Caenorhabditis elegans: one gene and its partners. The protein of the gene in region 2 interacts with the protein of the main gene of each other region in a biochemical or structural test. Each region holds a gene or a part of one and is shown on either strand. Other genes may lie near its edges.

Region 1 (7,751 bases), on a different chromosome or scaffold from region 2:
ATCTGCACAATTTTAAATCCTTCCGTTCTTCTGTTCATTCTCTTGTAGACTTCTGTTGTATGCCTTCAGGTCTTTGATTTCTTTCTCACGATGTCTGAATGATCTAGTCACAATTGGCTTCTTCGTCAGAAGTTCCTCTATTGGTGGCTCACATGGGCCACAAAGTGCCCGTTGAAACACATTTTTGCATTTTCGATTATCCCGTACCTTTTCCTTCCTCTTTATATGTTCTGTAACTTTTTGGTTTCACTACTTTTCGAAGACTAAGGTGTTCGATCGTTTCTCACATTTATTTAACCATATATGGAAGATGACTCGAACCAACAAAAGAAATCAACGCCCTCTCAGTGAAGATTTTATCTTTCAATTTTTATTCAAAAAATATTTAATCAGAATATCTATTCATATCACTTTCATGTTGATTATTGAAACCTTACAATTGGATAGGAAATGTCACACGACATATGATATTCCAGTTGTAGAAAATCAAAGTTATGTGAAAAAACAAGCACGTTTTTTGAATGAAGACGCTTGACTTCTGATGACATATCAAGAATTAAAGATTTTCCAAAATGCAACCCATGTTTGATTCAAGGATATGTTGTTGTTTCCAGAAACACAACATAATGCAAATTCACTCAATACTTTCTTTCTAAAGTAAATCTTTGATTAACTTTCAGAATTGTAAGAAAAACCAAACAATTTCAGAATTAATCCAGAAGCAGGAAACTGCATAAAAAAACAACAAAAAAAAATAATCCTTCTGACAAATGTTGACAAAAATTATCGTAAATTTACAATTTTCTAAAAATCTTCTAGATTTCTTTTCCCTATGACGGTCGCATTAAAGTACTGAAATAACATAATAAAACTTTAATAATAAATTTCTTATTAGAAAATTACGATTTTTTCATTTTGACACTTCACAGCTAACTGAAATTTTTAGCACTTAATTGTCTATGTTTTTCCAACTTCAAAGATCAATTTAACCTTCGAAAAACACCTGATCACCTGAAACTCAATGTTTCAATTTCATTGTTCAATTATTAATGATGTAGTACAAATTTAACAAACACAAAATTTTCCCATCTTCACGTCACTTCTGCTTACATAACCTAAAATTTCAGGACGCTTTTATTTTTGAAAGATCCGGAAAGTGAAATACTAGTTCTGGGATTTTGCAAGTCCTGCAAAATGAAAAAAAATCTATGGCTTCATCTTGGTTTTGAAAAATTCCAAAAAAAAGTGATTCCATGAATCAGATCAGGAAGTACTGTTCTTTTATTTTTTAAAATAACATATATAAATCTTCTTTTTATTTTATTTTCTTAAAAAGTTAATCCAAAAAAAAAGAATTGTTTTTCTCCAGGGAACGGCAGTAAATCAAATGACGCAGTGGATGGATCAGTGTTGGGATGTTCCTGGAATTGTCCACCCTATAACCAAAACAAAAAGCTGATTGGAATATTGCTTGAAAAATCTGAAACTAAGATGATTTTCTGAAAAACCGAAGAAGTTTAGAAGATCATATATTTCCCGAATAACGCTATAATATTTATTGAACTAACTTTAAAATATTCTTTAGGAAAGTATAAATCGCGAGATATAAAATTCTTAAATCCTAGTTCAATTGTGATAATGTCTAAAAAATGACTAATAAGAAAATATGAGAATTGTTCTATATGCGTCATTGACATTTTCAAAAGAAGCCTTATTAGAGCAGACGGATTAGATGAGTACTCATAATTTAAAAAAACGATAACTGAAAATCATACGATCTATCAAAGTTTCCTAAATGTTAACCAAAGAGTATCGAAAATTGGCAACAAGATTCAGCACGAAAACTTCCTGATTTTCTCCGAACTTCTGATTTCATCTCACATTAGCTGGAATTTAAAGCTGACCGAAAAAATAGTTTAACTTAAATGAATATTGCGCAAGTAAATGTTTATTTATTTTAAAGTGAGACAGCTTCTAATTATTTTGTTTGTTTTCGGTCGATGCACCATGTTTTGCATTGGGTTCAGTGGATGTATTGATGTGGAATAAAAGTTAATCTACTGTCAGATTGTTGACTGGGTTTTTTTAAAATACCATAAGATCCTACACTTAACGAAACAGTGACAGGGCACAGTTTTGAAATGTGTGGTGCATATGTGAATTGATGATTTTAGTGACCCAATTGCCTTTAATGTTAATATTGGTTCAAGTGAACGTTTGTTCTCGTTCAAGGTGTCTCATAAACATGCTTAGAAAATCTCAAAAATGATTTTCCCACAAAGTCCATAAAAATTAATTAATTTGTTCTTTGACTCATTTTCACTGCACATTTGGTTCCTTCTCTCACGTTCTCTTACTTTTTTGTATTTTTTGAAATCTGAAAATTGGAGTATGAGCTGCGATACAAGTCACTTTGAATCTCGAAATGAATCCATCAAATTTCCTTGTTTGATGTCATCAATCTTATTTGCTCTTCTTCAATGTTTCGGTGAAAAGTCAGAAATATTGCAATTCTCAATATTCTCTATGGTAACTCCGTGTTTTTGTTTTGTCTGGCTTTTGACTCAGGTTAGGATCCACCTATAAAACTAACTTTTTTACCAGTTAAACATGACGTCAATCTTCCTTTCTCATCCCCAAATTCGGATTAGCCCCCACCAAAACCAGCAAAAAGACGGTGAAGGGCGGGAAAGAGCCGTTGGAGAAAGGAATACCTTCAACAGCTTGACTCCGCCCACTTCTTCGTCCGCTTCTCCTCCCCTCAAAAAAGCGAGTCGGGGGTCTCATTCGGAGGCTCTTTTCTAAGCCAATATCATCTTCTTTTTGCTCTTTTGTAGTAGTACTAATAGATAATAATATTAATCTTTTTATTTTCAACCAACTTTTCACCTGGTACTCCCCCTCATCCAAATTCAGACATGTTCCACGCCCCACGTTACCAGATGATATTTATGAAAAGTTGAAAATGTACTTCATACAACCTGACCTTCGCAGACGTATAGCTGAATCTCTATGTTTTTCTGTTCAACGTTTTTTATTTAGTTATTACTCATTTTTGTTTTATATGAAAAACAAGGTATAATAGGTATAATATTTGCTTCCTGCTTTAAGGATTCTTATCTCATAAAATCCTGAAATCCATTCCTGCCTTCTTATCTTGTTTTCAGTTTTTAATCATTATTTTGAAAACAATATGATTATTCCAGAATATGAACTCTCGTGGGTTGATTTTGACGCTTGGCGTGGTGATCGCTGTAGCATTCGCACAACAGGACAGTGAAGTGGAGAGAGGTAATTTTTTCAACAAAAAAATATACTACCGAGGACACGATGCACCATGTCATTTGTAGTGTTCATGAAACTTTCATTTTCTACGTATCTCTCGGGCCACCTGTTCAAAAATATGTTTTGCAGAAATGATGAAGCGTAAATCAGCGTATATGCGTTTCGGACGTTCTGACGGTGGAAACCCAATGGAAATGGAAAAACGGAAGAGTGCCTACATGCGTTTTGGAAAGAGAAGTAGCGGAGGTGATGAGCAAGAGCTTGTTGGAGGAGATGACATTGATATGGAAAAGAGAAAGTCCGCCTACATGAGGTTGGTTTTTCACCTCAATTGACCTCCCAGTGTCTGAGACCAAGTCATTAAATTATTTTATTTTGAAGATTTGGAAAGCGATCTGGACCTCAAGAAGATGATATGCCAATGGAAAAGAGAAAAAGTGCCTACATGAGGTATGTGAATGAGTTTCAGATGAGACACAAAATGAATGAATTATTATTCAAAATGAATGAATATTTATTCAAAAAAAACATAGAAATGTTTCAGATTTGGAAAGCGATCATCAGATATGGAAGTTATTGGAAATGAAGGAGTTGATGGAGATGCACATGATCTTTTTAAAAGAAAATCCGCATACATGAGGTGAGAGAAGTGAAAAGAAACGAAAAAAGTTATTCTAGGGTAAACATGGCTGAACCCATTCATTTCTAAGTTGACACAAAAACACGAGGATATCTTACGCACAACTAGAATGCTCTTGTAAGGACCAACTGGAACTTTATTCCTTTGAAATATCTGAAAATACTAATCGAGGAACTTTTATTTCTTGATTTTGAAACGATCAACTCTTTCTTAACATTTTTTGGCAAATAGTTCTTTAGAGATATGTTTCTAGTTTAATGTCAGTTATCTTTTCTTAAAGCTAATATCTTCAGTACCATATTCTTTGAGTAACGTGTTTGTTGTTCTTTTGTGAAAGTACTGAAAAACGTGTGTTCAAACGATTTAATCATAGCTTCATTCGCGAAAATCGCCGAAATATAATTTTGAACATTGTGACGTCATACAATTTTTACTGAGAGACTATTTCAGAAAAAAGACACTTGACGTCAGACCATTCTGAACAATTTCCCGTAATTTTTGTAAGTAAAAAGAGACATTCGTTTTTCACTTATTGAACACCATGGCAATGGGATTTCCGCTGATTTGTGATATTTTCCCTTTGATTGAAAACCAAATGGCGCGCGCATTTTCGCGCAATGGTCCCGCCACGCGCATCCCATTGATTTGTTGAGCGCATGGCGAGACCAATGACGGGACCATTTTGTATAAATGCGCGCGCCTTTAAAGTCGTAGAAGTGGAAAAAAAATGCACTGTAATTTCTGCATCACTCTATTTTACGAATAGTGAGCTATTCAGAGATTAAGAACTTATTTATTTTCAGATTCGGAAAACGTTCCATGGGTGAGGAGGAGGACCACGATATGATGAAGAGAAAATCAGCATACATGAGATTCGGACGATAAATTTTGGACAAACTTGGATCTATCATTTATACAGGCTCACACATTTAACTTATTTTAAAATCAAATACCTTTTAAAAACTCTCAACTCTCCCGATGATAAAACTGACAGTTTCTTTCTTTTACATTATCTTCATGTAAACCTACACTTTTAATCCCTACTTTTTACAATTCTCCCATCCTCTTCGTTTCCTTCGATTGATAAAGTTTTGCACCGTGTTTTTCACACAGAATCACCTCTTTTATCTGTATCTTATCCGCTCCTTTATTGAATACGAAAAACACACGAAATGAACAGAAAAACGAATAAGAGAAAAACCAGCCTCCTACAGACGCCTGATTGATGTCGTACCGAGATCACGCTTGTTACTTCTATATATCTCTTTCAAAAAAAAAAAGATGATGACGAAAGAAAAGGTGTCACCGTCTGCGTAATCTGACGTTCATTGGATTATAATAATAATCTGATAAAAACACAACTCGAAAGTGTTTATTTTTGATAAAGTTTATCCGGCAATTCGGAAATGCCGAGTTTTAAAATTTTCTGCAATCGGCGTTTTTGGCAATCACCAAGTGGTGTATGCCGCCCATGTATATGGTTTTTAGTACAGGCACAAACTACTGCCTACCTAGGGAATATCTTCCACCCGCAATCTAAATTTTTTTTTGAAACGGTAGCTAAGATCATTGGCTAACATAATCTATCTTTCGTTTTGCTGGCGAGTTACACACATCTGCAATTTTTCGTCTGTAAATTTAGTACTATATAAGTTCAAGAGGTAGGCAGGCACGAATGAAATTCAATGATGGCAGACATGAGAAACAGCGTAAGCCATGAAAGTTTTTTGACATTCAGTTGGATTGGACACACTGAAAATTGTGTGCAGTAGTTAAAATTCGAATTCTGTACTTTGTTGGAAGCCTTCATTATTGACAAGCATCTAGAATTTTTTAAAGCTCTAAGACGAGTAGGACTTAATTTTAAAAATATAAAACGAGAATCTTCGTCCCCTGCTGTTCTTTGTTATCTAATTCCTAAATGTTGTGACTTTTTAATAAGATACAATATAACATTGGGTGTCTGCCATTAATGTATCTTTTGAGATAACATGCCATTTGCAGTATATCCAATATCCTTGAGAAAAACGGTGTTTGAACACACTGTTTTTGCAGAGTTATCACAGACTTTGCTTATCACTTAAAACCCCAATAAACACCGTTCTCGATATCCGCTGTGGTACGTCATAACCTAGACAGGAACTGAAGTCTAGAAGATTTGAAATATAAGGTTATTAGATCAAATAGAACTGGAGGATTTCTTATTGCTTTCCAACTGAAAAATTTGAAAGGCTGAATTTTATTGTCAAATTAAAATAAAAGTAATACTGATTATCGACCAAATATGATCTTGTTCTTTGAACTCTAAAAAAAATTAAGGTACAATGCAAATGGCTAAATCAAGTTCTGAAATTGACGGCAATTGGTTGTAAACGTGGAAGTAGAAAATATTTTTTAAATATCTTTCACACTGTGTTTGAAATTAATTTTAGTATGGTAATTTCAAAATAACTGACCTGATTACTTTATCACAAAGCGTGACCATTTTGATTCCTGATTCCTAAAAGTTGAGGCACCGTAAAGCAGAGCCATAAAACAGTTGCAACTATTTGGAAATCTTACAACTTCCTTCTTTGTAAATTTGAAATTTGTATTCGAATCCCTTTTAATTCTACGTATTTTATTGAAAAGACACATACACAACTGTCTACATCTCGTGTCTGTTTCCAAGTGTGTGCCCTCTGTGACAAAGTGCGCAAAAAGTGCACTCTAAAGGGGTCTTGGAAACCCGAACCAACCTGACAATCTGTAAATGAGAACTAGTTATTTCAGTCATTGCAAAGACATTTTTTGGAGACATGTAGAGATCATGGTACTGATTGTACTATGAGAAAGTTCTGGAACAAAAACGTTTTGGTTGAAAAGTATGGAATACATCACTTGGCGAAACAAGAATAATAGATGACTAGGTAATGGAAGAAGACTAAAATAGCATAGTAATCTATTGTGGAGGTACATTTGCACGAGTATGCACAACTGAATGACGTTGCTGATTGATGAGAAGTAAGTTCAAAAAGCGAAAAGTGTAATTGTAGTTGAGAATTTTGCAACTTTATATTTGAAATGATATCAACTTGTTCTACATCATCTTATCAAATTATAAGATGTGGAACAGAAAAAGTGCACTAAAAGATTCAAGTTTTAAAACAAATTCTGTAAATTAACCGTACATTCAAGGGAAGCGCATTTAGGTGTATATTCTTTCAAAATGCCAATTAAAAGAACAATTGAAAACTGGAATCAATATTGTAGTTTCCGAGGAAAAAACTTTTGTCTACAAAATAAAATGCTACATTAAAATGTTTTTGATCTCTGGTGCAACAACGTATCTGCAGCATTATACCGGCATCTTCTTAAAATGCCTATTTATTCAAGAAAATAGAGCGAATTTTTAAATAAAATTGTCTCACAACTAGATAAACCAAACATCAGTAAGTTTCGACAATATTATTTTTCTGATATTCATGATCATTTGTAACATGATGATTGAACTGTTGGGAGTTCCAACTTACACTATCGATGGCTTCTGTTTTTACTGTGAAATACGATCTGTTAACATAAAACTAGTTATGCACTAGTTACTATGCAATATATTTGCAGAAGTTCTTATGAACTTTGTCTTTATTGATGTCCTATAAACAAAACTCCAATAAAAATACAAAGAAATCTAGTTTATCTGGGATATTTTCAAATCGCTGGAAAAAGAGAGGAATTAGTAAAATTTCAAACTGCAAGTAAATCAAGTTACATCAGGACATCAAAACAATACCAACAAAAAATGAAGAAAAAATGTACCAAAACAGAAATGGAACACTTGAACAATCTA
Region 2 (7,827 bases):
AAACTCCATTTCTCTAATTTTCAGCTGCTTTTTTCAAATTTAACCAGAATTTCCTGTTGTTTCTTTATTGTAATTGTTTGCATAGGAATATAAGTATCTTATTCTTAGTATTTCAATAACACTTTCACATGCACTACTCTTTCTTCAGATTAATCATTTTTCCAAACTAGTAAGCTCATACCAGATTCTTTAACTTTTGAATCATAAACTGATTGATCCACACATTGTCCGTCAAATTCTCTTTCCCCATCCACGCATAAACACAAAATATCAATGCAAATAGATCCACCCGAGCATATTCCTCCGAACAGGCACTCAGTTCCAGGAATTCCAACTGAAAACATAATATAAAAAATAAAACTTTGGAAATTGTTGGAACGAAAAAAAAGCATTTACCGGAAAACGTTAAGTTTTCTTGTTTTTTTGGTTTGTATATGAGTACTTGTATAGACTCTTCGGAGACCATGTTCACCAGATATCATAACCGAGAGCAAAACATATGTGTTCTCGACCACATTTATAAATTCAGAAATCATTCAAAACTTACGTTTACCTTCAACGCCATACACTTGTTTTGCAGAAACGGAAAGTAAGATTAGGAATTGATAAGTTGGAAGCATCATCTAAAAAAGATAAAACAATGGAACAAATCGGAATGTGTGAAGATACCCGAATGTTTGCAATTCGTTTCTTTGCCTCCCCCAGTCAACTGTCATTCGTGTTTGTTTTTCCATTTGCTCTTTTTTCTTTTTTCTTGTCAGTTTAATCAGCCCAAATTAGGATGAGCCCTGAAGTTTTGACAATGAAACAAAAAACAAAAGTTCAATCAGTTGGCTTTATAGATTGTTATATTTTTGTTGTAGAACGTTCTAGAATATTTTTTCCACAAAAAAGTCAGGGAAGTTTCAGGCTTCAAAAAAGAAGTAGCCGCAAGAATTGTATTTTTTTTTTGGTTTCATTAGTATTTGTTTCATGTTTACTCTAACTAGAAAACAGTGCAAATTATCTTCAGACCCAGCCACACTGATGTGAGTCAAATTTTTTTACGGGGGAATTTACATCTGAAACCCCCATCTGAAATCCTAGTTGTCGTTCGAAATTTTACTGTGCACTTTTTGCTAAACTCAAAGAATTGTATGAAAAAGTTCATATTACATTCTTTTTTTCATTGGTTATGTGGATAACGAGTTACTGTAACTCGTATCAATTCAGTGGCTGAAAAATATTTACCATTATTTTTTCAATTAATTGGGTTATTCAAGTAGTGTCGGAAAGTTTAGAAGCAGAGAAAAATTTTAATACAGTTGTCACGTCATTTCTCTATCCTTTTTAATTTTTCGACACTACTTGAATAACCCCATAAAAAAGCATTCCGGGATGTAGTAACTCATTGTCTACGTAAGTGACCCCAAAAACTTCTTATCGCTATACGTCTACGTATTAACTTCACTGACAGGAGAATACTTTTGAAGGTGTTCAGAAAATATTATTCTTTCCGTTTAAAAATTCCGCTAAGACTGTCTGTCAAGATATGAACACTTGAGACTTTTTGCAACAAAAAAAAACCAAACGCTTCAAAATACTGCAATTTTTATTGTTTTGATAGATTAAGAAGCGATTCAATTTGTTAGTGTAGCAGATAAATATGCTATTTTTTCTATTTAGAATTTAAAAAAATTAACAAGTATGCTGAAAAATTATATTTAAGGTTTTAGAAAACTTTTAAATTCTAAAGAAAATTGCTTTAAAAAAAGTCAATTAGACAAAATCATTGAACACTTATTTTTTCATAACTTTGATTTTTAACTTTGAAACTTCAGTTTTCCAACTTTTAAAAGCTGTTCAAATAGAGAAAACACACTATATTAGTAAAACAATACAAGTTTTATTCATTCTCGGAAGATTTCAAGATAAACAAGAATCACATTTTCAAACTTGTGACTTTCAAATTTTTCAGACGAATTGAAGTTCACAACGGGATAAATACAAAAATCAAGAATTATAGTTGAATTGAATAACTACGCAAAGGAGATTAAGACCCGACATATGAGCTTGGCGCAGTTCTATTTATCAGAAAAGTTCGTGGGGACTTTGTTTCGTCGTCATGTCGATGATTCCAACTTCCTGAAAAATTGTATTTTGAATTGAACTTTTTAGTCAGAAAAAATTGTGAGTAAAATGTAGTTATCTCAAGTAGATGATTCATCCTACAATTTTGTTTGAAAGTACTCACTTCGAGTTCCTCTTAAACTATTCTTTCTGGTCCATGGGAAGAATAGTGCTCGGAACGTGGAGAGATACTCATTGGACATGGTGCAATAGAGAACGAAGCTAACAGAGCTGTACAACAGCGTCAGCATTTCCATCAGATTTCCCACTGGATCGTAATACCGATTTCCGAACTCTTCACCGTAGATAGCCACGCACAAGTTAAGAATACCCATGGGTAGTTCTACCTGGAATCAGACATACGTTTCATGGTAATCATAGACAAAATAATATAAATAATCGTAACAATACAGCAATCACATACGATCAGACATTAAATAGTGACTAACCATTACACATAGGAGTAGAATGATGACGAGCATTCGTGTTGTGCGCGGTCTGGTCGTCAACTTTCTTTTTGCTTTTCTCTCGGAGTTGGTGCAAATGTTGGCACCTTGTGTACGCTTCCAGTTTTTACGCCTTCGTTCTACGCTTTTCAAAGATCTTATAAGAGCAATGAGTAGTATTGAGAGAATTAACGACGGAAGTAGTTTGAACACAATACCAAATGCCCAGAAAACTGCGGACACGAGAAGTGGACTCTCTTGATAACTGAGGTCGTACAATGGACCTTCCATTTCGCATTGCAAATCATAAGCAACGTGGTCACGAGCGACAATTTTAACCTGAAACATAGATGAAATCAGATTCGAGATATGAAGATTAACTACACAAACCTCGGATATGAAAAACAATGGAAGACTGATGATAGGAATGATGATCCAAATGATAACGTTTGCTGCGATTGCTGGCTGGCATTTATAGATGAATCTATTCGCTTGAATTGGAAACTTCAGTGCACAATACCGAAACACTGCGACAACGATCGTCGTTGTGAATGCAACTGAAAAGTATTTGAGTACAGTAATATGCTTGCCAATCTAAAAATACTTACTTGTATGAAATACTGTATTCAGGTTGACATTGAAGAATCTATATCTTGTAAATGCTTCGGACCATAATAATTGAACACTGCAAAAAACTGGAACATTGTTTTTTTTATTTGATGCATGACGTACCATTGATATCTATAATACTCAAGCAATAAGTAAAGGAAGTAATTGGTCGCTAGGAGCCATTGTGCAATGGAGAGACCTGTGAGCAGGATGTTTATTGGGGTTCGCATCCGTTTTCTGGAATAACAGGTACATTCATCCGTAAAAAATAAAGAAATATATAACTTACCTTGTGAGCACAATAATATTGAAGACGTTTGAAGCGGCTCCGAATATACAGATAGAAATTGAAAGAGGAATATGAATTTCATCGTAGTACTGCAAAAAGGACTTGTCAGTTATGGCTCGCGACGAGACATTTGTTGCATTTTCACGACCCGACAATCCGAGTTCCGTCCATTTCCCCATTTTTTCACTCTTTCACGTTTCGGAACGAGCCCGAATAGGGAAGCAAATATGGGAAAGCAAAAAAGATTCCGGTTCAAAATGCTGGAAAAGCTTCAAACGTCCATTCACAACCGGATTATCCCAGCGACAATCTCTAACAACGAGATAGCAGGAAAAATTGGACGACAAAATAAATATTCGTTCCAGTCAAAACGGAGTGGGAGGGAAAGGGGAAATCTAGTGAAATCAGTGTTGGAAGTTCCGCCCACTGTGTAGCGCGTGCCCCTGTCTATCAGCTAATTATTTTTCAAGTTGTGTGCATCGCGTGTCCCCCCAAATGACACCATACTGATTCACTGGTGCCCAGTCAGAAACACATAGATGAGTCTCTGAAAGACTAACTCGCAGTGTGAGGCCGTAAAACGGGTTTACGATCGGCTCCCAATAGAGTCTCGTACGCAACTAACACCCAAAGTACACGTGCAGAATTGCAGAATTATTTAGGTCATTTGAGGAATGGGACACTACTCCGAAAATGGGGAAAATGTTTGAAACTGTTCATATGCCGCTACATTAGGTCCTGATAGGTTTTGTTCCCCCAAAATGTTTTAATTTTCTAAAATTAAATTTTCCACCTTTCAAATTAAAAACAAAAACAAAAGTACGGAACAAAGCATTCGTTTCTCCAAATCGTTCCAAAAAAGTTCACGTTTTTGTGGTTAATTGTAACTTAGAAAATTAAAACATTTTGAGGGTAACAAAACCCATGAGTACCCTACAATAAATCATAATAGCAAACTTTTCGAGTCCAATTTGACAAAATTTTCCAAAATTTACATTCGGAGTTGCTTGAAATTTCTCAAACAGTCCAAACTTTTAGAAAACTTGACAATTTACCAAAACTTTGATTGAAATTTTTTGAAAAATCGGAGCATTTTTGAAGTGTTGCACGATTATATTTGACTATTATGAATGTGATTAAATAATATTCCCACTGATGATACTCCAACTTTGATAGTTTCACATAAGTGTTTAAACCAAGTGAAAATTATATTTTCGATGTAAATTTGTCTAGACAGTGACTTTTGTCCTATTATACAATTTGAAATTTCAAGGGTTCAAACTTTTGAGGTTGCTTAAAAAAAACGTCCATGCTTTTTGATAACTTGGTAATTCACCACAACTTTTACTGAATATTTTGAAAAATCTAAGAATGTTTGGAGTGTTTCACAATGATATTTGTTCATGTCAGACTATCATGATTGTAAATTCAAACCCCCCCCCCTCTTCACTGATGTTACTTTACTATTAATAGTGTTTATAAGTGCTTTAAAAACGTTCAATGTTCTTGAATATTCAAAATAGAATGTTGCTTCAACACATCTAATCTCATATCTTGAGACATTTTGCTCTCCGATTAGTGATAACAATTAATTTTTCCTAAACTGTTCTTTGGCAAATATCAAAATTGAAACAATGATCCTATGGCTTCTATCACAAATTTGCAATTTTTCCAAATTTCCAACGCGTCATCAAAACCACCTCCCGAGATTTTAATGCTTTGAACTCACCATGGCAAACATGTGGATATAGCATTCGAAGTATGTACAGATCAGTGTGTCATTCATTGCTGAAAAGCTGTCATTGTGTTCTATGATGTTCTCCATCTGCAACAAAAGACCTGTGTTGTTTTCAAAGTTATGCAGGGAGAAGAACAAGAAAACGTGAGGAAACGGAGGTGAAGGCAACAGAAAAAAGATCAGGAAAAACCTTTTGACGTTATATAAATTATTAAATCATGAGCATTATATAAAGATTTCTGGAGTATAGAAAGTTCCATACCTTAAATGAGTTCAAAATTCAAGAACAGTACGTAGAAATGATTAATGTCTAGTCTCGGGAACTTATATTCCCCTGGCACGGTCTACCGTCATATAAGGTTTTCGCAGTACATTCTGACAAATTTATTGTTGCAGAAAGAAAAAAAGAAAATTGAAAAAGACACGAACGCAGCTTGAGATAAATAATTTTCGAATCCGGTACACCGTCATTCTCCTACAAAATGAAGGAAGGTTGACTGAATAATTAAATTAATGTTTTCTTTCATGCTATTTTCAAGACAAAAGACAAACCCGGACACTGATCTGTCTATTTGTAAGTGACAAGTAGAATAATATATCAAGGAAAACAATGGACGAGGGATGAACATTTTAGTGTTTGTTTCAAATCACATTTCGAACTCGAGGCGACGTTTTAAATCTCCGCTACTTTGCTCTTTTGCACTCTGAATTTTTGATCATCAATGGAAATCTTACATCTTCAATATTTTCAAACGAAAAATCCAGCGGTCAGTTGAGAGTCTATGAATTTAAAAGTATTTTTCAATCGTCATAGTATAAAATTTTCCATTTTTGTGGAGGAATAAATTGCAAGACTTTTTGAGTTGAATTTTTGAGTTGGATATAACCATTTTTATCAACAGGAGCTGAAACTTTCAAAGTAAAATTTCAAAACAGTTAATGATAATGTAACAAACAAATACCTAATTATTCAATCAAACACTTTTTGTAAGTTTCGCAAAAATTGTTGTGAGCAAAACGACAAGAAAACGACATTAACCTCAAAAAAAACCTGTCAAATAATGCAAAAAAGTGTGATAGTTGAACGAAAACTAATTTGTGAAACTGAAAAGATGGCAAAAATTAAAGTGGTAGCTCAATTCAGCTGATTTTTTTCCGAAAAGTTAACCTGCTTTTAAAATTTTTGAAAATCTTTTTTAGAAGTTTCATTATTTAATTTGACCGTTTCAAGTCTTTTTAATCAAACATTTAGGCAGAACAAAAACCCACAAACAAAAGAGAAGCCTTAACGCTAGATAGATATTAACGACTGTTTCAAAAAAATCACAAAATAAAGTCTGAAGTCTTAAAAACGGTTTCAGTAACAAATAAAAAAGAATCAGCGAAAAAGTTAACTTTGGGAAAAAAATAATTCTTCGATGGTGACGCATAAAATAATACAATAATAGCATAGAATACGATTGGATATCTATTCTTCTTTATTTCAGCTTTCTATGTTGCCAGCTTTAAGAGGTTCCAGAAATCAGATATTTTCACTGAGTAATCCAATAGAAAACTATTATTTTCGCAGAAAATAAAAATGAAAAAAAAAAAAACTTTACAGCGAAAAATTGATTTTTAAAACGTTTGAAATTGCAATTTGTTGTTTTCTGCTACTGTCTTTCAAAACAATTAATATAGCATTGAAATGACAAGATGGGAGTGAAAAGCAATCATAAACAAAGACAAATGTGTCCGATGGATTACTGCGGAGTTGTGTTTCTTTCAGTTGCCAGTTGAAAAGTCAGAACATCATTAGAATCGAAATTCGGAAAGAAAAATGTACTTGATCGAATTTTTTAAAACAAAATTTAATGAAAGTGTGAACATCAATTAAAATGCGTGAGAATTGAGTAGGAGAGGAATTAATGGAATGGGAATAGAAAGTAGTAGCTCTAACTTGAAACCTTTCGGTCTCACACGGAACTGAAACTCTTTCCAAATTAGAAATTTACAAAGCGACGCAAAGACCTTTGATTTAAGTATTTATATTTTCTTTTGAAAACCAAAACAATAAAATTTGTGTACCCATGATGTGGGTACGATGTCTGATGGATTCTATCTAATATACGTCTACTAAATTGTTATTGTTTTCAGGAGCCGACTACATATTTCGGGATACTTTAGGGATTGTGTCAAACCCGGGGATGTGATTCTTGTCTTCTAAAACATTCTTGTAAAACAGAACAAAATCAGAATGATTCAGAAGTTTTGCATTATTACTCGATACCGTGCTCAAAAGTCTAGACAATAGAGATGAGTTCTTTCTCAATAAAATCACAAAACAAAAAATTTTGAAAACGAAATTCCTGGAAGGAAAGTTTTCATGGAAGGAACGCACCACTAGGGGAATAAAACACGTAACATAATCCCTTTAAAAATTTTCGATTATCAACTTCATTCTTTGAACTCAATTATAAGCTTGAAAAATGAACAACAAAAACCACAATTTTGCAAAATTGTTGACGATGAAGAGCCGAGTTAAAGTCTAAAGGGAATAAGAGTTAGCAACTATCATAGAGAAAAATTTCTTAAATCTTTTTTGGCTAAAATAACCCAAACATCGCAGTACATTTGTGAAAACATGAGTTCTTGAT
Region 3 (8,612 bases), on a different chromosome or scaffold from region 2:
ATTATTTGAGTTTCAGAAAATTTTAAAAATCTGAATGTTTTCTGATCATTGGAGTTGTTAAATGGCATTTTTTTAAATCGATATTTCTGTAATTTGTCAACAAATGTGGAAAACGGCTCGCCTTGCTACCCGGTGATAAAACATGAAAAAGACAATTTTTCACTTCTCGGAGCTACAAAAATTGAAGAAAAGTCTTTCACCACTCCCCATCGCCCGGAAAACGCCTCCAGTATATTTCTTTACTTAGGGTCTCAATATACTATTTCAAACCTGATACTTCTGCGAATTAATCTGAAATAATAGTGATTCGTAATAAAAAATATTTGTGTTTTTTAATCGTTTCAGGTTTTTGGCTAGACGTTGGCCCATGAACACCTCAATCTCTCCATTGTTCGTGACTCAAATACTTCTTATAATACCTATATTTTTCCCCGAAAAAGTTGAATAGTTGGACGTATTATTTTCCCGAAATTGCAAACACAAATCCTCTGGCGTAGCTTCTAGGAAAAATCACTGATCTAAAACAATTCCAGAAATCATTTAAAAAAATTAAACCCTTTACATGTATATTGGTCGCAAAACTTCCGAGTTCGATTACACCGCGGTTTTAAACATATTCTGTCTTCGTGAATAATTAGATATTCAGGTGTGAAATAGAGAGAAACGGCTCGGGAAAAAATATCAAACATAGGAAAAACTGTCACTAGGTGAAATCTATACAATGTGACCGCCAAAATTCTATTGCTATTGTCGTTAAATGACTGCTGAAATTTTGTTTAACACTAAACTCCTAAACCCACAATCGGTCCCAGACACATAACAAAATCCACAAAAAATGAGAGAATTTATAAAAAATAAATTCGGAAGGTATGTGTGTGTGTGTGTTTCATATTTTCATTCTCGTTTTCATATCGTGAATTATTCAAGAAAAGGAATCGGGTAATGACGGAATATGTGCTTTTATCCTTTTTTGAACGACTTTTGCTCTTTCTAAGCTTTATGTTTTGTTCAAATAATCCATCTTATAGTAATCTTTTTCAAAAAAGCTAATTTAGATTTTTAACGATACTTGAGATAAAGATGTTCTGGTTTAAATGACACCAAAACACCCACACATGTATCAAGTATTGTTTTTCCCAAGTATTCAGAAAGAAGTCATCCTTAAAGTGTGTAAAACTTTAAAGTTTGCTGATCATTAAATTCCCGCGCGAAGGAATATTGTTAGGTATGAAACACGAAAGGGGATATTCAAAAAATAATAATTATCTAGAAATACAATTTTTCCTAAAATGTTCAAATAATTACAGGCATCACTGAAAGATTGAATCTATTTTTATTTGAGCACAAAACTGAGAACCCAATGCAACGATAGACACAAAAATTTGGAAAAAAAAGTGTGTGCCTTTAAGGAGTACAGTAATTTCTTTTGCAGTAAAAAAACTTTTTTTTAGACATTTCGCAATGCAATTTTCTAGTTCACCATGCTTTAATTAGGTTTCCAGACAAAAATGTATAAATGGAAACTACTGTACACCTTACATTTAAAGGCTCAAACTCTATTTCGCTTACCAATGAGCGATGCGTAAGGGGCGTTGTCTCTGTCGCTGATTGGTCGACGCTTTCTGTTCTGCGCGGGAGTTCAGATTTTTCGATTTTTTTTTCTCAAATTTTCAGTTTTTTTCAGTGAAAAGCAAACAACTCAATCTTTATGTTTTGTTGAGATAATCCTTTATAATAGCAATTCCTTTTGAAATAAAAAAATGATAAAAATTTCCTGATTCAAATGGCACCAACGCACACACATGTAACACATTTTATTGCACATATCAACATGAAAACTTGATTTTTTTTTGATTTTCACAAATTCTCAGGTTACCATAAAAGTTGAAGAGGGGTAAGGGGATGGGAGAGAAGAATGAATGAACGGTATGAGGGCCAGAAATCTAGATGGGAACAATCGAGAAGAAAACGTAGTGAGCAGCTGTGTGTGAGAGAGAGAGAGAGATCAAAAATAGATCCAAGATGTTTCCAGAATAATCAACAAGACATATCTATCTACTTTCTTCCAAATCGAACAAATGATGGCTTTCTCTTGTCCATACGCATTTCCTCGTCATCAATTACCAGCGGGTATCCTGAACGTTTTCCGAAACGGACGAACGACGGCTTCCGCTTTTCCATTCGGACTTGCTCCTGCAAATTAGAAAATTCTTGAATTGTTTAGATAAATACAAGAAGTTATAGGTTTGGTGGCAGAATTAATATTTTCTCATTATCAGTTGTGGGGAATTCCGCAATTTTTAGACGAGACGTTTTTATTTATTTTTGAAAGTCACGAGATGACCATTTTTAGTTTTTCTTACGATTTTTCAAAAATTATAATTTTAAAACTTCCTTTAACTGAAAAAGCAAATAATATATAACATTTTCAACGGCATTTCTGATCTAGAAACGTTAAAAAATGTAAAGTAAGGCTCTCGAAAATAGTGTGTAAAAAATAATGTTTTAAAGGCGCATACACTTTTCGTAGCCTCCATTAAAACATTTTCTGTCGCGTTGAGGCCGTTACCATATTCTTATTAAATTAAATCATAATTTTTCTAATTCTATAACATGAACTTTATAATTATTCAGTGCTTCTAGTCACAATTTAACATTTCAGAGAAGCGTGTATTTTTGGAATTTATCAATTTTTGAGGAGCTCCTTTTCTTATTTTATTCTTAGATGTTTTTCTCCCCAATTCCGAAAATGTGCAAAAAGTTATTCAGTCGAAAATTTTCCTCAAAATGTGTTTTTTAGAAGATAAATTTCATTATTGAAACTTCAATATATCCCGCTAAAATTTAAAAAAAACGAAACGCCGACCAATCAGCGACGTGCAAAAGGCGTGACCAAGGTCGCTGATTGGTCGGCGCATTTATTGAGCGCTAATTTGAATTTTTTGTAAGTAAAATGGAATTGGCCATAGTTTTAGAATAGGACATTACATTTGAGTTTGTCTTTAATTTTCAAAAAATTATTTCAAGAATATAGAATATATTAATGTCAATGCGACCGTGGCCGCCAATATCTCAAGGTCCCAGTATGACGTCATCATTCTCACCTGATTAATACCGATTGCGTGCTGAGTGGCGAGTTGTGCAATTTGATCACAGTACTTTCGATTCGATTCCTTTCCACAGAACTCGGCGAGTGCATCCAAATCTGGCTCCTGAAAAATAGAGCTCAAGTATGTATGTAATTTAACATATTCCCACGTATAATCAACGCCGCAAATCTACACCCGCCGCACCAATAAAAACTAATGAGATTTTTGTCGTCGAGCAGTAGCAGGAGCAACCCGTGAGCCCTGCGATCTCCCAATAGGGTATGTCTAGGTTTTCTTACGGATTTTTGTTTTGTTTATTCAATCAATTTTAAACTTCTCGTGACTTTGAATGATGTCATCATCACTTTAATCAACTTTTTGTACGAAAAAGAGATAGAAGAATCTTAAAATTTGATTTTGAACGGTAGACTGAGCACAAGAGCATCACTCTGAAGCATCGAAAGCAGCAAAATAAAAGGAGAAGGGTGACGACGAAGAATGTAATCCTTGTGCTCATTAGTGGCTCACTTTAACATTTTCAAAGTATTACATAAAACGGATGTTGCTACTGGATGAAAATAGGTGTTGAAACTATAAGGAAGTTATAGAATATGTAAACTTTAAGTTGGTTAATGTAAAGGCGCGGATATCCACGTAGGTCAAAAAACTTCGAAAAAATTCGGATAGCCTGGTGGCATTTTCTGAACAAATCTCAAATTTCTAAGTTCGGCCGACAACTGCCCGGTTCCGCGCCGCACTATTTTTAACCTCTTAAAACACGCATGCTTTATAATTTGGCGCGAAACCCGGTAGCTGTCGGACCATGCTCATCACACCTAAATTCTGCGATAGGGGTAATAACTTTTAAAAATGGTAAAAATGGGCTTCCAAAAATTAATCATCGCGACAAATTATTAGGAAAGTGGATGACGAGACGAAGCCCTAGAATTTCGAATTTCGTTTTTTTTTCAGCTATTTCGTTCCAGACTCAACGTTTCTTTGAAGAGAAATAAACTAATCTTGTGTTTGAAAACAAATATTCTATTCGGGCTATTAAAAAAATAAAATTCACAGAATTCAGCTTAAATTGAGGTATGTCTTTTGCCCCAAAAATGTTAGCCATTTTTAAAATTTTAATGACCATGTTGGTCCAAATTAGGCTTACTTATTAGACTTTCTATGTTAGAAATACTGTTTTTTCAATGTAAGCCTAAAAATGCAAACCATTTCCACGGGGGCAGGTATATTACACAAGCACCTTCCAAAATTTAGGTAATTAACAGACATGCAGGCACGCCTACATTTGAAAAATAGGCAGGATTCGCCTACTGTTAAAAATTCAAAGATACACTTGAAAGTCACTTTGAAATTTATTTACGAAAACACATTTTATAGGTGGCGCCTTTTCTATTATTTTGCACACGATTGGCTTCATTTCGAGCCTGGTGGCACAGGGGGGAGGGGCACAAATAATATTTTGTTCGTTTTTCGAAAAAGTTGAACCTTCCGCTTCAAGAAATTCAGCACACAAATTTTAGAAGCGGAAAGAAATATGATCTTAGATTATTTATATTTTTCCGATCTTAACTCACCTCATAGGCATTTGCCATTGCTGCAATACAGGCGACAAGGAATAGTGCATAAAATTGATTCATTTTTTTCTTCTTTGAAACAAAAAATGTTTCACCCTTCTTCAGACGATGCTGCTGGGTTTTTCTCTGGAAACGAGACCAGAAAAAGAAGTGAGCCTTGATGGGGGCGGAGTCCTGAGAGAGAATGGAGAGCACACGTATGGGCGGAGTCTGAGCACACACATACACACACATTTAAGAATGACGTGTGAGCACTTTGAAGACTCGAAGTGATAATGATGGGTTCGGTAGGTTGGGGGCACTTTACTATGTAGATTTATTTGAAAATCAGGAAGTATTCAGGGAAATATGGTGGTACTGTAGGAAGTATTTAGGATCTACTTTATATTGAGATTTTGAAAAAATCGTAGTTCAAATTGTAGGAGGAATAGGAAAGAAAAATGGAATTTACCGGTATAAAAAAAACTTTTTAAAAATCCAAAAAATAACATAATTCTTCAATTATTTTAAAAATCAGATTTAAATAATCCTCTAAATAGTCATAATCTTTTTGGACAATACACCTTTATGGGTTTTGTTATTGAAAACATTTTAAAGATTGGTCGTCACAAAGCCGTCTTTCAAGTCCTTTTTAACTGGCCGCCTCGCGCCTAACCGTCTTATATTTTTTAGGTGCTAAATATGTCGCGGAAAATTTTTCATGATTTGATAAATGGAAAAATCGGAAAGATATTTGGAAAATGTACAGTGAAATTATAATTTTTATGGAAAACAGGAGAAAAAACTCGAAACCGAAATAAAGAAAAATTGATTAACGCAAATTTTTCCATGTGCCGAGAATTCGAAAAAATAGCAAAAAACTCATTCTAAAATTCACATGCAAATGGGTAAAAAACGCGAGAAAAATATAATTCTTCTAAAAAAATCTTTAAATGTAGCCAAAAATTTATGGTATTTCTCGACAAAATGAAATTGCCTATGATGACTTTTTAATTTAGTTTTTTCTCTCTCAGAAGGACATTTTTTGAGCAGATCACCCACACATCTTGCCAATTTGCTCAAATTTCTGCAATATTTTTGACAAGATCAATTTTCATGTGTTTTGTTTCAATGAGTTCTCGTTTTCCCCATTCTAATAAAACAAATCAGAAATATATAATTGAAAGTCATTAAAGCCCACGTAAATAGGTATATACTCACTGAAATAGAAATATTTGGTAATACTGCTCTAGGAACTCGTAAAGAGATTTTTTTTTGTGATTTCAGAAACTAATCTAAATCGCATACGATATTTTAGGAAACCTGGGATTCTAAGAAGGTATTCAAAATATAAAATCTTACAGTATTTCTTGAAAACTGACAAAATTGCAAAGGCAAGAGCAAGCCTATATGTCGACTAAAAGACAGGCAGGCGGGTCCACTTGAAAGAAAACCGACAAACTTTATTGTTCCTAATGTTAAAAAATCTAATTTCGTAACAAAAAAGTTAACTTTTTAGTTTTAGATATAAAAAAATGTGCCCAATGCCAAATACCAATATTTTCTCTATTATCAGCCTTAACAAAATAAAGTTATTTTGATCATTTTTTGAAAATAATAGCTATTCAGATTCAAAACCAAAAATATCTTCCCGTTACACCTCCCTCTTTGAATCTCTTTATTTGGGTATTCAAAAAAGAAACCTGAAAGTTTATTCAATTTGAATATGAAGTTCTACTCGTTCTGAGTATTCATTGAATTCAGGTGGGAGTTCTGGTGGGTGATTGAAATGAAGTGCACGATGATTGGAATACAATTCAAATTTTTTATGTGAACTAGAATTTATTAAAGAGTAACAGATGTTCTCAAATTTTGACCACAAAAAAATAGTGTATTCCGAAAAATTTCCAGCGGGAGCCCTAAAATATGAATCGAAAAAAAAAACGAAAAAATTTGGCTAAGCCAATAAGCGGCGGGACTTCTTAGGAATTTTTTTCGCGGGAGACGGATAGATAAAGCTTCAACAATTTTTTAAAAACATAAAGTTTTTCGATGTTGGGATTTTGTTATAAAATTTCAGAAAAAGATCCGATAAAAGTTCAGCCGTGAAATCAGAATTGAAATTTCATTTTAGTTTTTTACCAGCCTCGCCTCACTCTAGGCCGGAAATTACCTTTAAAAAAATTCAATTAAATAATAAAAACACAAAATATACTGATGGTTTAAAATATGTGACAATACATGACACACAAGATTACCGTTAAAAGGGCGAGTGAGAGACACCCTCAAAACGCTTCAGCCGTTAACATGCCGATTAGGAGGTTTGCAAATCAAAAAATATTCCCATTTTTGCAAGAAAGAACAATGTTGCATGTCCTTGTCGAAAATACGAGAAAATGATGTTTCTTGTTCTCCTCCTCCTCCAGCTGCCCCTACTCTTCAGTAACAAACCCATAAAGCCAATGACAAAGTGTCTTCAATTTTTCATTTTGAACTCCTCTTCTATACTCCGTTTTCGAGTAGAGAGCGGTTGGTACTAATTTTGGAAACACGGAACATTTTTTCCTTCCAAATATAAAAGTGATGTGCGTGTCCGTCCGGAAGAGAGATATTGTTATTCCGCACCGGAGAAATCTTTATGAATAGGGGGAAAAGAGTTAAAGGCGTGTTCCATTTTTTAAGAATTTGCAAAGCTTGAAAGTTTTGAAATTCCGGGTAAATATAACGATCACCAAACTATTACAGACATGCTAGGATTGGTCAGCACTCTCTGCAACAGACCAATCAAAGATTTACAAGGGGCGTGGTCCATGTCGCTGATTGCTGGGAGCACTCTGCTGTGGACCAATCACAGATAACTGGGATCGCTGATTGGTTATTCACTCAGTTGCTACAGTTGAATAGCTCCCAGTAAACGTAGAAGTTAAAGTAACTGGAAATTGGTAAATTCTTAAAATATACTTAAAGACTTCTTATTTCAAAAGAATAAGCTTAATAATGTGTGAGCTAGGGAATCTGAGCTATTGTTTTTATGGAAGCTACAGATTTTTCTCAAAAACCTTCTCTGCAATTCCTGGCACCCCAAAAACGTATAGAAAGTAAGAAATGACGACAGTTTCCAAATAAATCGCAAAAAATAGAAGAATCGAGAATCATCAATCATTTTCATCATTTCTTCCTCGTTTGGTTCATCATTTTCCCCCGATTTTTCTCATTTTTCAAGCCCCTTCATTCTCCATAATGTTTTTGATGAGACCTCCCTTCCTTACTTTTTTTTTGACTGATTTTTGGTGACCTCAACATTTTTTTTTTCAGAAATATAATATTCTTAGTTGAGGTGAGTGAGGGAGGAGATAATATTCCAGGAAATCATGTACTCAAATATGGGGTTTCGTGGCAGAGAAAATAAAAGTGAAAAATGAGGAGTGATTCAGGGAAAAGGAAATTATAGGGTAGCTGGTCTCTTGAATGACTGGCAGGTTAAATGGGGGTCAAGAATACTATTCAGCGGCTGCATTATTTCTGCAAGATAAACGACATTTTTTGAATTTTTCCGAGAAAATAATGAAAAATAGGTGCGAGGGATGAAAGAAATGTATAAAATACCTTTAAAAAATGTTTTTAAAAAATTAAATTTTTTTTCAGCTAGGCACAACTTTCAAGAACTATTTGAGGTATTTTTTAAAGCTTTTCAAAAAACTAATGATTATTTTCTGAACAAACCAACATTACAAAGTTTATAATTAGAGTTTGAAAAAAAAAAGTAAATGGTGGAACCTAACTGAAACGTCGCGCAGAAAGTTTTCCAGAAGGTTTTTTTTTCACAATTTTCAGAAGCCGCAGTATTTCTCCTAGAACATATTTTTTAGTTTCTGCTATTTCAAAGGTTTTCAATAATATTACAACATTCTGATGGTCTTTGGGCAATTTGTATTTTTTTGGAAAAAATCTG
Region 4 (6,435 bases), 8.9 Mb from region 2:
GATTACGTGGTGACGGTAGCGGCGGGCAGTAGAAACTAGCTGTCAATAGGACGGTAATTGTCTGCCATCATCATCGACTAAAGTGCGACTAATGGCAATAGCCCATACCTCCACCACAGCTGGTCAACATCTCGTTTATCCTGTGTTGCGAACATTTCCGAAATTCTTCGAAGCGTCTTGAGAATTTTTACAACAATATAAAAGAAAAGTATTTCAGGGATAATCTTCCGTCCTCAAGTGTTTGTTTTCCTAATTGTTTACCAGATTCCGCTTGACTAATTTTTAGTGAACTGAAAATTAATTTGCACTGACCAAGTATTTCTGCTTAAAGTATACACCTTGAATTTAAATTTTGCCGTTGACTATATCGCCCAATTTTTTTTTATTATGGCAAGCCATTCTTCACCGAATTATTGAGTCATCGGACTAGTTTCGGAGGTGACGAGGCATGAGAATAAGAAAGTTTCGGCTTTCTTTTTTATCCGTGGAAAGTGAGATCCAGAAGAAAAGTGGCGGAATTTCAATAACTTTGAGATGACGCATTATTACGACAACGAAGCAGGGGTTTTTTAATTAGAAAATCTGAGATGAACTTACTTTGCAGATAGTAAAAATAAAGTTTTAAGGTATAAAAAAGGATTAAAGGATTAAAAGACGATCCCTTCTTCAAGTGCGATGCACTGCGGATCTAGGAGCCAGGTACACTGCCTGATGGTGCTCCTACTGGGCTATAATTTAAGCCACGTCCTAGCCGGAGACTGTGGCGGAAAATCCAGTTATGGATTGCTCACCTTGCCAATGGAGGCTGGGTGAACCTAGGGAGTGAGGCCGGACTTGAACTCGTGACCTCCAGATTGCTAGCGACCACCACTACCGACTGAGCTATCAAGAACTTAGTAGAAAACGGTAAGCAGTTTTGAAGCATTGAGAATTTCAGTTTAGTGGGAACTGAAAGTATAGTTATGTGTTTTAATTTAGAGAAAATTCTTGAACTATCAATCGTGAAACTCGGCTGAAGCCCACTCCTATTTTTGAATGTACTGCAATAGAACCATCTTGATTCTAATTTTCAAAAAATCTTCTATCAAAAACTATGACGCCAAAATTATCTTGTTTAGACTTCTTGAAATCGCTTGGCCCCATCATTTGTCAAGCAAAAAAAAATCACAAGTGTCCCACGTTCTCGTAGCCTAGCGAAACATGAAATATGTTGTCTCATTTCAACAAAAAATTTACTTTTCTTCTTCTCACTGACTATACAACATGTTTGGGCCGAGAAAATTGTATCCAAATTGTGAAATATTTCAATGACACAGGATTTCGGATAGAAAGATATACACAGTTTTTCCTCGAAAACCGGTCTTACGTCTGTTTGATGCGCGCGCCCGCAGGGGGATCATGCGTACTTGTAAGCAAATTTGAATACGATGAGTGGTCATACAAAGAAAAAAAACGGATTTGGTCATTCGGCTGGGACATATTATGCAATTCATACATCAAGCCTGTGAATATCCAAGTCTTGTGAAAATTGAGATAAGATGGAAAAAAAAAGAAAAAAAAACCAGAAAAACAATGAAAGTTTATTCTAACTGACGTTTTGCAGAGATAAAAGAAAAAAAATTAGCATGGAGAATAAGAAATCTAACAAAACATTATCAGTATAGAACACAATTTGGCCCAAATCATCAAGAAGCACACATCCATCTCTGAACGCGAATCACCCGAATCGAATGAATTCGTTCTTTCGTTTCTCCACTGCAAAACCACTTACAGATAAAATACATCAGAGGTGTAACCGAAAAACTCACTGGAAACGTCGTTGTCGTCGAGTCCAAGTCCCTTATCGGATCTTCCGAATCGGATGAACTCATTTTTTCTCTTTCCAAACCGGATGAACTCGTTCTTTCGTTTTTCCATTCTGAGAAAGAAATGATATTTGAAATGACCGACAAATACCAAATATGTACTAACCCGTCACTGCGTTTTCCAAATCGGATAAACTCGTTTTTACGCTTGTTCATCACCGGAACTTCTTGATCGTACAGTGTGACATCTGTCTGCTGCATCACCTCCTGCAAGGCTCTTTGGACGACTTGCATCTCCGCCTGCAAAACATTTTAGATTTTACAGGAATAAAAAACCACTTTGGAAACTAAAAAAAATGATCAACATACCTCAAGATGGCAAATCCGGAGTCCGAGTTCCTTCTCATTCTCGGTGGTCAGTGCGGACACATCACAGCTAGCGTTGGCCGATATGGCGAGTACAAAAATAGAAAAAAGGACTCCGGAGAGCATTTTCTACTTGAAAAGTGTGGACTGAGCACTGCTCGTGGCTTATATACTGGTCCGTCTTCTCCACTAACTTGGGCTCCGCGCACTTTGCTCCGCCTTTTCAGAGGCCACGCCTTCTTGTGCTGAAGAAATTCTAGAGTGTCCACTGGAAGGCGTTTGGTAAAAGAACGCGGGGGCATAGAAAACTTGAAATGGTAAATTGCATAAAACAAGTAAGAAACAGTAAAGTGCTTGTTCTGAGATTTATCTGAAATTGATTCATCGAAAAATTAAATTTACTCCGGTTTTAAAAGTCGTAAGACAATAAACGTGTCTTTGAGAGCAAGTTGATTCAAATTTTAAAAATTTGCTGAAAATCAAGTTTCGAAAACCAACGATATAAAAAAATTTTTTTTTAAAGTTATTAAAAATTATCTCATTTGAAAATTTATTGTATAAACCAGGTTATCTCAACTATCAGGTTAAAAACCGCTTTTTAGGTAAGAAACGTTATCTACGAAAAAACAAATTTTTCCAGATCAAACTTTAGAGTCATACAGTACCACCAAGAAAAATTTTAACATTTTGACATTGTTGTAGCAATTCGTTTGATTTGAAAATGGAAATTTCTCGAAGCTACCCTCGTTTTGAAAAATGAAAACAATGCATATTTATATTTTTGTGTCCTTATTTTGTTTTTTAAATTTTTTTAAAGAGGCCCACTTTACGTTTTTGTGTGTTTTCTTCTTCCTCGTCTATCTATCAGCTGTATAACCGAGCAGTCGAGGGACTGAACACAGTGAATACACGGAATTCATGCTGGGAGGTAACTAACAGATAAATTTAGCCACCGACACCCTCCGAAACTAATTATACCAACTCTATGCATTTGTAAATTGTTGACGTAACACTTGGACTTCTCCTTCATCTAATTCTTCAACTTTTTTCCACCTCTTCTCGGGGGGGGGGGGGGGGGGTACTTTGAAACCAAAAACTTATCCACCGCGCAAATTATTCATCACGAATCAGTTGCTTCCTCGATGATTCGCCTCGCAAAATGATTTCACGGCAATCTCTTCATAAATCTTGCCCTCCAATCATTGAATATTCATTCGAGCAACATGAAACTACGGTGAAGATTGCGTGTATTCAAAGTAAAGGTGCCCACATACTTTTTGAAGAGATCGTCCATGACGAAAATGAATTCATTTAAAGTAGAGTAAAACAAGACTTTTCAAAGAGAACAAAATATCAAGGAGTTCTTATGTCAAAATGGGATGGTCAAAAATGGAAGTCTAATCATTAAATAGTGAATGTCTTGAAAGTCAGTCATCTTATCCTGCATTATAATTATGTGCATAATAAGTGAATTTGCTAGTTTATCACTCCGCCATTGTTTAACAGTAGTCAGTCAGCTTTTTGATTATTTTCCAAAAGTATTCATTCATATTTACAGTGAATATTTTGAAAAATGTATTGTCCTTTAACTATAATTAATGTTGAAAAAATGTAAACCATTCTGTAAAAAGTTGATAATAATTATTAACTGCTCTGAACTTCTCGGAAAGTTATATATTTTCGTCGCCTCGCTATTTTACTAAAACCTTGACTGAAAATTAAGAAAAACTGGAAAGTTTTTGTACGGTTTTATTTTGATATGCGGCCAGCTTGAAACAATATTTACGTGTTTAAACAAAATGTATTTATCTTTAAATATAAATACAGTATTTCTTTTTTACTTGCACCACCTATTGAAAATCAACCCTGTATATTGAATTGAAAAGCTTCCAAATTATTTGATAATTTGACATTTGATAATCACTTTCCGCTTTGTTATATGTAATCTCAAAATTTTTCTTCCGCTATCAAAAATATGCTCGTTTTACTTTTTCTCTATTTTATCACAACATAAAAACCGATGAACGATACTGTTGTGACCGCAAATGTGAGAAGAGGAATCCAAAACACATACACACAAAAATAGTGACGAACGTAATTTCCAATGCATGGTCTTAAGACGGAACACACATAGTTTTTGGCTTGAAAATGTCAAAGAACTGTTTTTTTTCCTGGAAAATGGAAAACAATAAAATTATGGGAATTGTTTCGGAGTGGTTTCCGGCCCATGAGGTACTGATAGGAACTAACAAAAGACTCTTATTTAATTAACTCATTTATTACGAGTGATTCAAGGGGAAAACCTTGAATCACTAACACTCAACATTCATTTAAACGTGCCACCGTCGGGCACGTGCTGCGGTGGTGAAGACCGATGAAGACTGACGATATAGGCCAATGTGCGCTGCGCCATGATGACAAGAGTACGGTCGCAGTCGTTGTTGTATGTGTCGTGGCGAGACCTCATGCGCCTTGAATCGTCCTTTTGGCGGTAGTTTGAATCGGGGTTTCTGACGCCGTCCTTCTGCATGGTTGTTGCCGTTGATTGAAGAGATGATGTTGAGTGTTGAAGAGCAAGTGTTACGTAATAACAATGAATCAATCTTTACATTTAATCATTTGTTAATAAATCCTTAGATTTATTAATAAGTCGTGAGCGAGTGAATCTTTGTATTCACCGACTTCGTGACAGGAATATTCAAAATAGCGAGCTGAAGTTCAAGGGTACTGTTCGAGGAGTAAAAAAAAATTTGGAAATTAAAAACACTTTGGCTATTCTGTGTTCCTTTAAATTTTAATAAACATTTCCAACAACGTAAAAACATTTATTTGGTATGCAATCAAAATACTTCGGCAAAAGTTCTATATAAAACCGATGGAAAATGAAAAGAATAGAGATCTAAGTTTGATTTGATTCCGATATGTAGGTTTAATGAACAACTCATCATAATAATAACACAGCTGCAGAAAACATAATTATTAGTATTAGATTTAAATTGACGTCATTGTTGCATAAATTACCATCGCATGTGCAAACTTCAAGGTTTCCTGAAAGTTATATATATATTTTTTTTTTATTATATGGAACAATTTGAATATTACATACCTTCTCCACTAGTAATTTTTGTACAGTCTGATCGGATTTGTTCTTTTGCATTTGGTATGCAACTTCTCCAAACATGATTGATTCCTAAAATAAGTAAAAAGAAAATAAAATAAACAATTAATTTTGATCTATCTCACCGCTTTTTTCCTGGAAAATCATTTTCATGCAGACTCCATTTGAGCACTCATTGCTGCGAACTCCATCACGAAGAGCTTGATCAACCTGGAAAACTGCTCATTTTAGAGAAATATTAGCCGAGTTAGCCGGTCGGCTGAAATTCGGCTAATGCGGCTAACTTTATCAATTTCAGATTTTTTTGTTCATTCAGCAAGATTTTCACTAATTTTGTGGGTTATCAAGTAAGTAAAAACAATTCACTTGATAACAGAAACAAAAAAACGTACTGAAAGCAATTAAACAATAAAACTAGCCTACCCTAGACAGTCCTGCCCAGAGCCTAGACAACCCTACCCCAGACCCTAGCCTACCCTAGAAGGCACTACCCCAGCCGACCCTAGACAGCCCTATCCCATAGCCTAGACAGCCCTACCCCAGACCCTAGCCTACCCTAGACAGCCCTTACCCAGACCCCAGCCTACTCTAGACAGCCCTTACCCAGACCCCAGCCTACCCTAGACAGCCCTACCCCAGACCCTAGAGAGATGCGGGAGGCGGAGGGCTACCCTAGGCAACCCTAAGCAGCCCTAGCCTACCCTAGGCAAACCTAGCCCACCCTAGGCAGACCTAGCCTACCCTAGGCAGACCTAAGCAGCCCTAGCCTACCCTAGGCAGACCTAGCCTACCCTAGGCAGACGTAGCCTACCCTAGACAGACGTAGCCTACCCTAGACAGACGTAGCCTACCCTAGGCAGACCTAGCCTACCCTAGGCAGCCCTAGCCTGCCCCAGGCAAACCGTTTGCCTACCCCAGGCAAACCTAGCCTACCCTAGGCAAGCTTAGCCTACCCTAGGCAGACCTCCAGTCTTCCTTCGATTCCTAAATGAAAGAAGACTGGAGAGTTGGGTTAGAGACCATTCGAACGTGCGGTTTTACCCGGCTCCCTCACACTTAGCGAGGGTCGAAAACATGCGGTACCCAACAACGACCGCCCAAAATTCACCGATTACCCAGGAAGCACCCGAAGGCTTGAGGGAGAGA

The links.
Region 1: the proteins of egl-6 (region 2) and flp-6 interact in a test that uses a peptide from one of them, tested with the Caenorhabditis elegans proteins (one large-scale study listed by BioGRID).
Region 3: the proteins of egl-6 (region 2) and flp-9 interact in a test that uses a peptide from one of them, tested with the Caenorhabditis elegans proteins (one large-scale study listed by BioGRID).
Region 4: the proteins of egl-6 (region 2) and flp-8 interact in a test that uses a peptide from one of them, tested with the Caenorhabditis elegans proteins (one large-scale study listed by BioGRID).

Annotation. Positions count from the first base shown.
Region 1 is NC_003283.11:9,468,769-9,476,519, forward strand, and holds flp-6 (QQDSEVEREMM), read left to right. Parts: upstream 1-3,206; 5' UTR 3,207-3,209; coding exon 3,210-3,291; intron 3,292-3,414; coding exon 3,415-3,598; intron 3,599-3,666; coding exon 3,667-3,735; intron 3,736-3,829; coding exon 3,830-3,925; intron 3,926-4,728; coding exon 4,729-4,810; 3' UTR 4,811-5,024; downstream 5,025-7,751. UniProt on the Caenorhabditis elegans protein: FMRFamides and FMRFamide-like peptides are neuropeptides. KSAYMRF-amide has an excitatory effect on dissected pharyngeal myogenic muscle system.
Region 2 is NC_003284.9:5,928,573-5,936,399, reverse strand, and holds egl-6 (G-protein coupled receptors family 1 profile domain-containing protein), read right to left. Parts: upstream 3,815-7,827; 5' UTR 3,633-3,814; coding exon 3,454-3,632; intron 3,402-3,453; coding exon 3,288-3,401; intron 3,241-3,287; coding exon 3,164-3,240; intron 3,113-3,163; coding exon 2,946-3,112; intron 2,895-2,945; coding exon 2,559-2,894; intron 2,457-2,558; coding exon 2,234-2,456; intron 2,125-2,233; coding exon 2,033-2,124; 3' UTR 1,868-2,032; downstream 1-1,867. Other genes in the region: C46F4.3 (EB domain-containing protein), read right to left, coding at 182-334, 548-623.
Region 3 is NC_003282.8:12,752,759-12,761,370, forward strand, and holds flp-9 (KPSFVRF-amide 2), read right to left. Parts: upstream 4,813-8,612; 5' UTR 4,745-4,812; coding exon 4,682-4,744; intron 3,213-4,681; coding exon 3,105-3,212; intron 2,194-3,104; coding exon 2,056-2,193; 3' UTR 1,800-2,055; downstream 1-1,799. UniProt on the Caenorhabditis elegans protein: FMRFamides and FMRFamide-like peptides are neuropeptides. KPSFVRF-amide: Has no effect on somatic body wall muscle, inhibits contraction of vaginal vera muscle, and inhibits the activity of the dissected pharyngeal myogenic muscle system.
Region 4 is NC_003284.9:14,877,400-14,883,834, reverse strand, and holds flp-8 (FMRF-Like Peptide), read right to left. Parts: upstream 2,417-6,435; 5' UTR 2,298-2,416; coding exon 2,175-2,297; intron 2,106-2,174; coding exon 1,972-2,105; intron 1,919-1,971; coding exon 1,768-1,918; downstream 1-1,767. Other genes in the region: sssh-1 (UPAR/Ly6 domain-containing protein qvr), read right to left, coding at 5,116-5,219, 5,278-5,361, 5,415-5,499.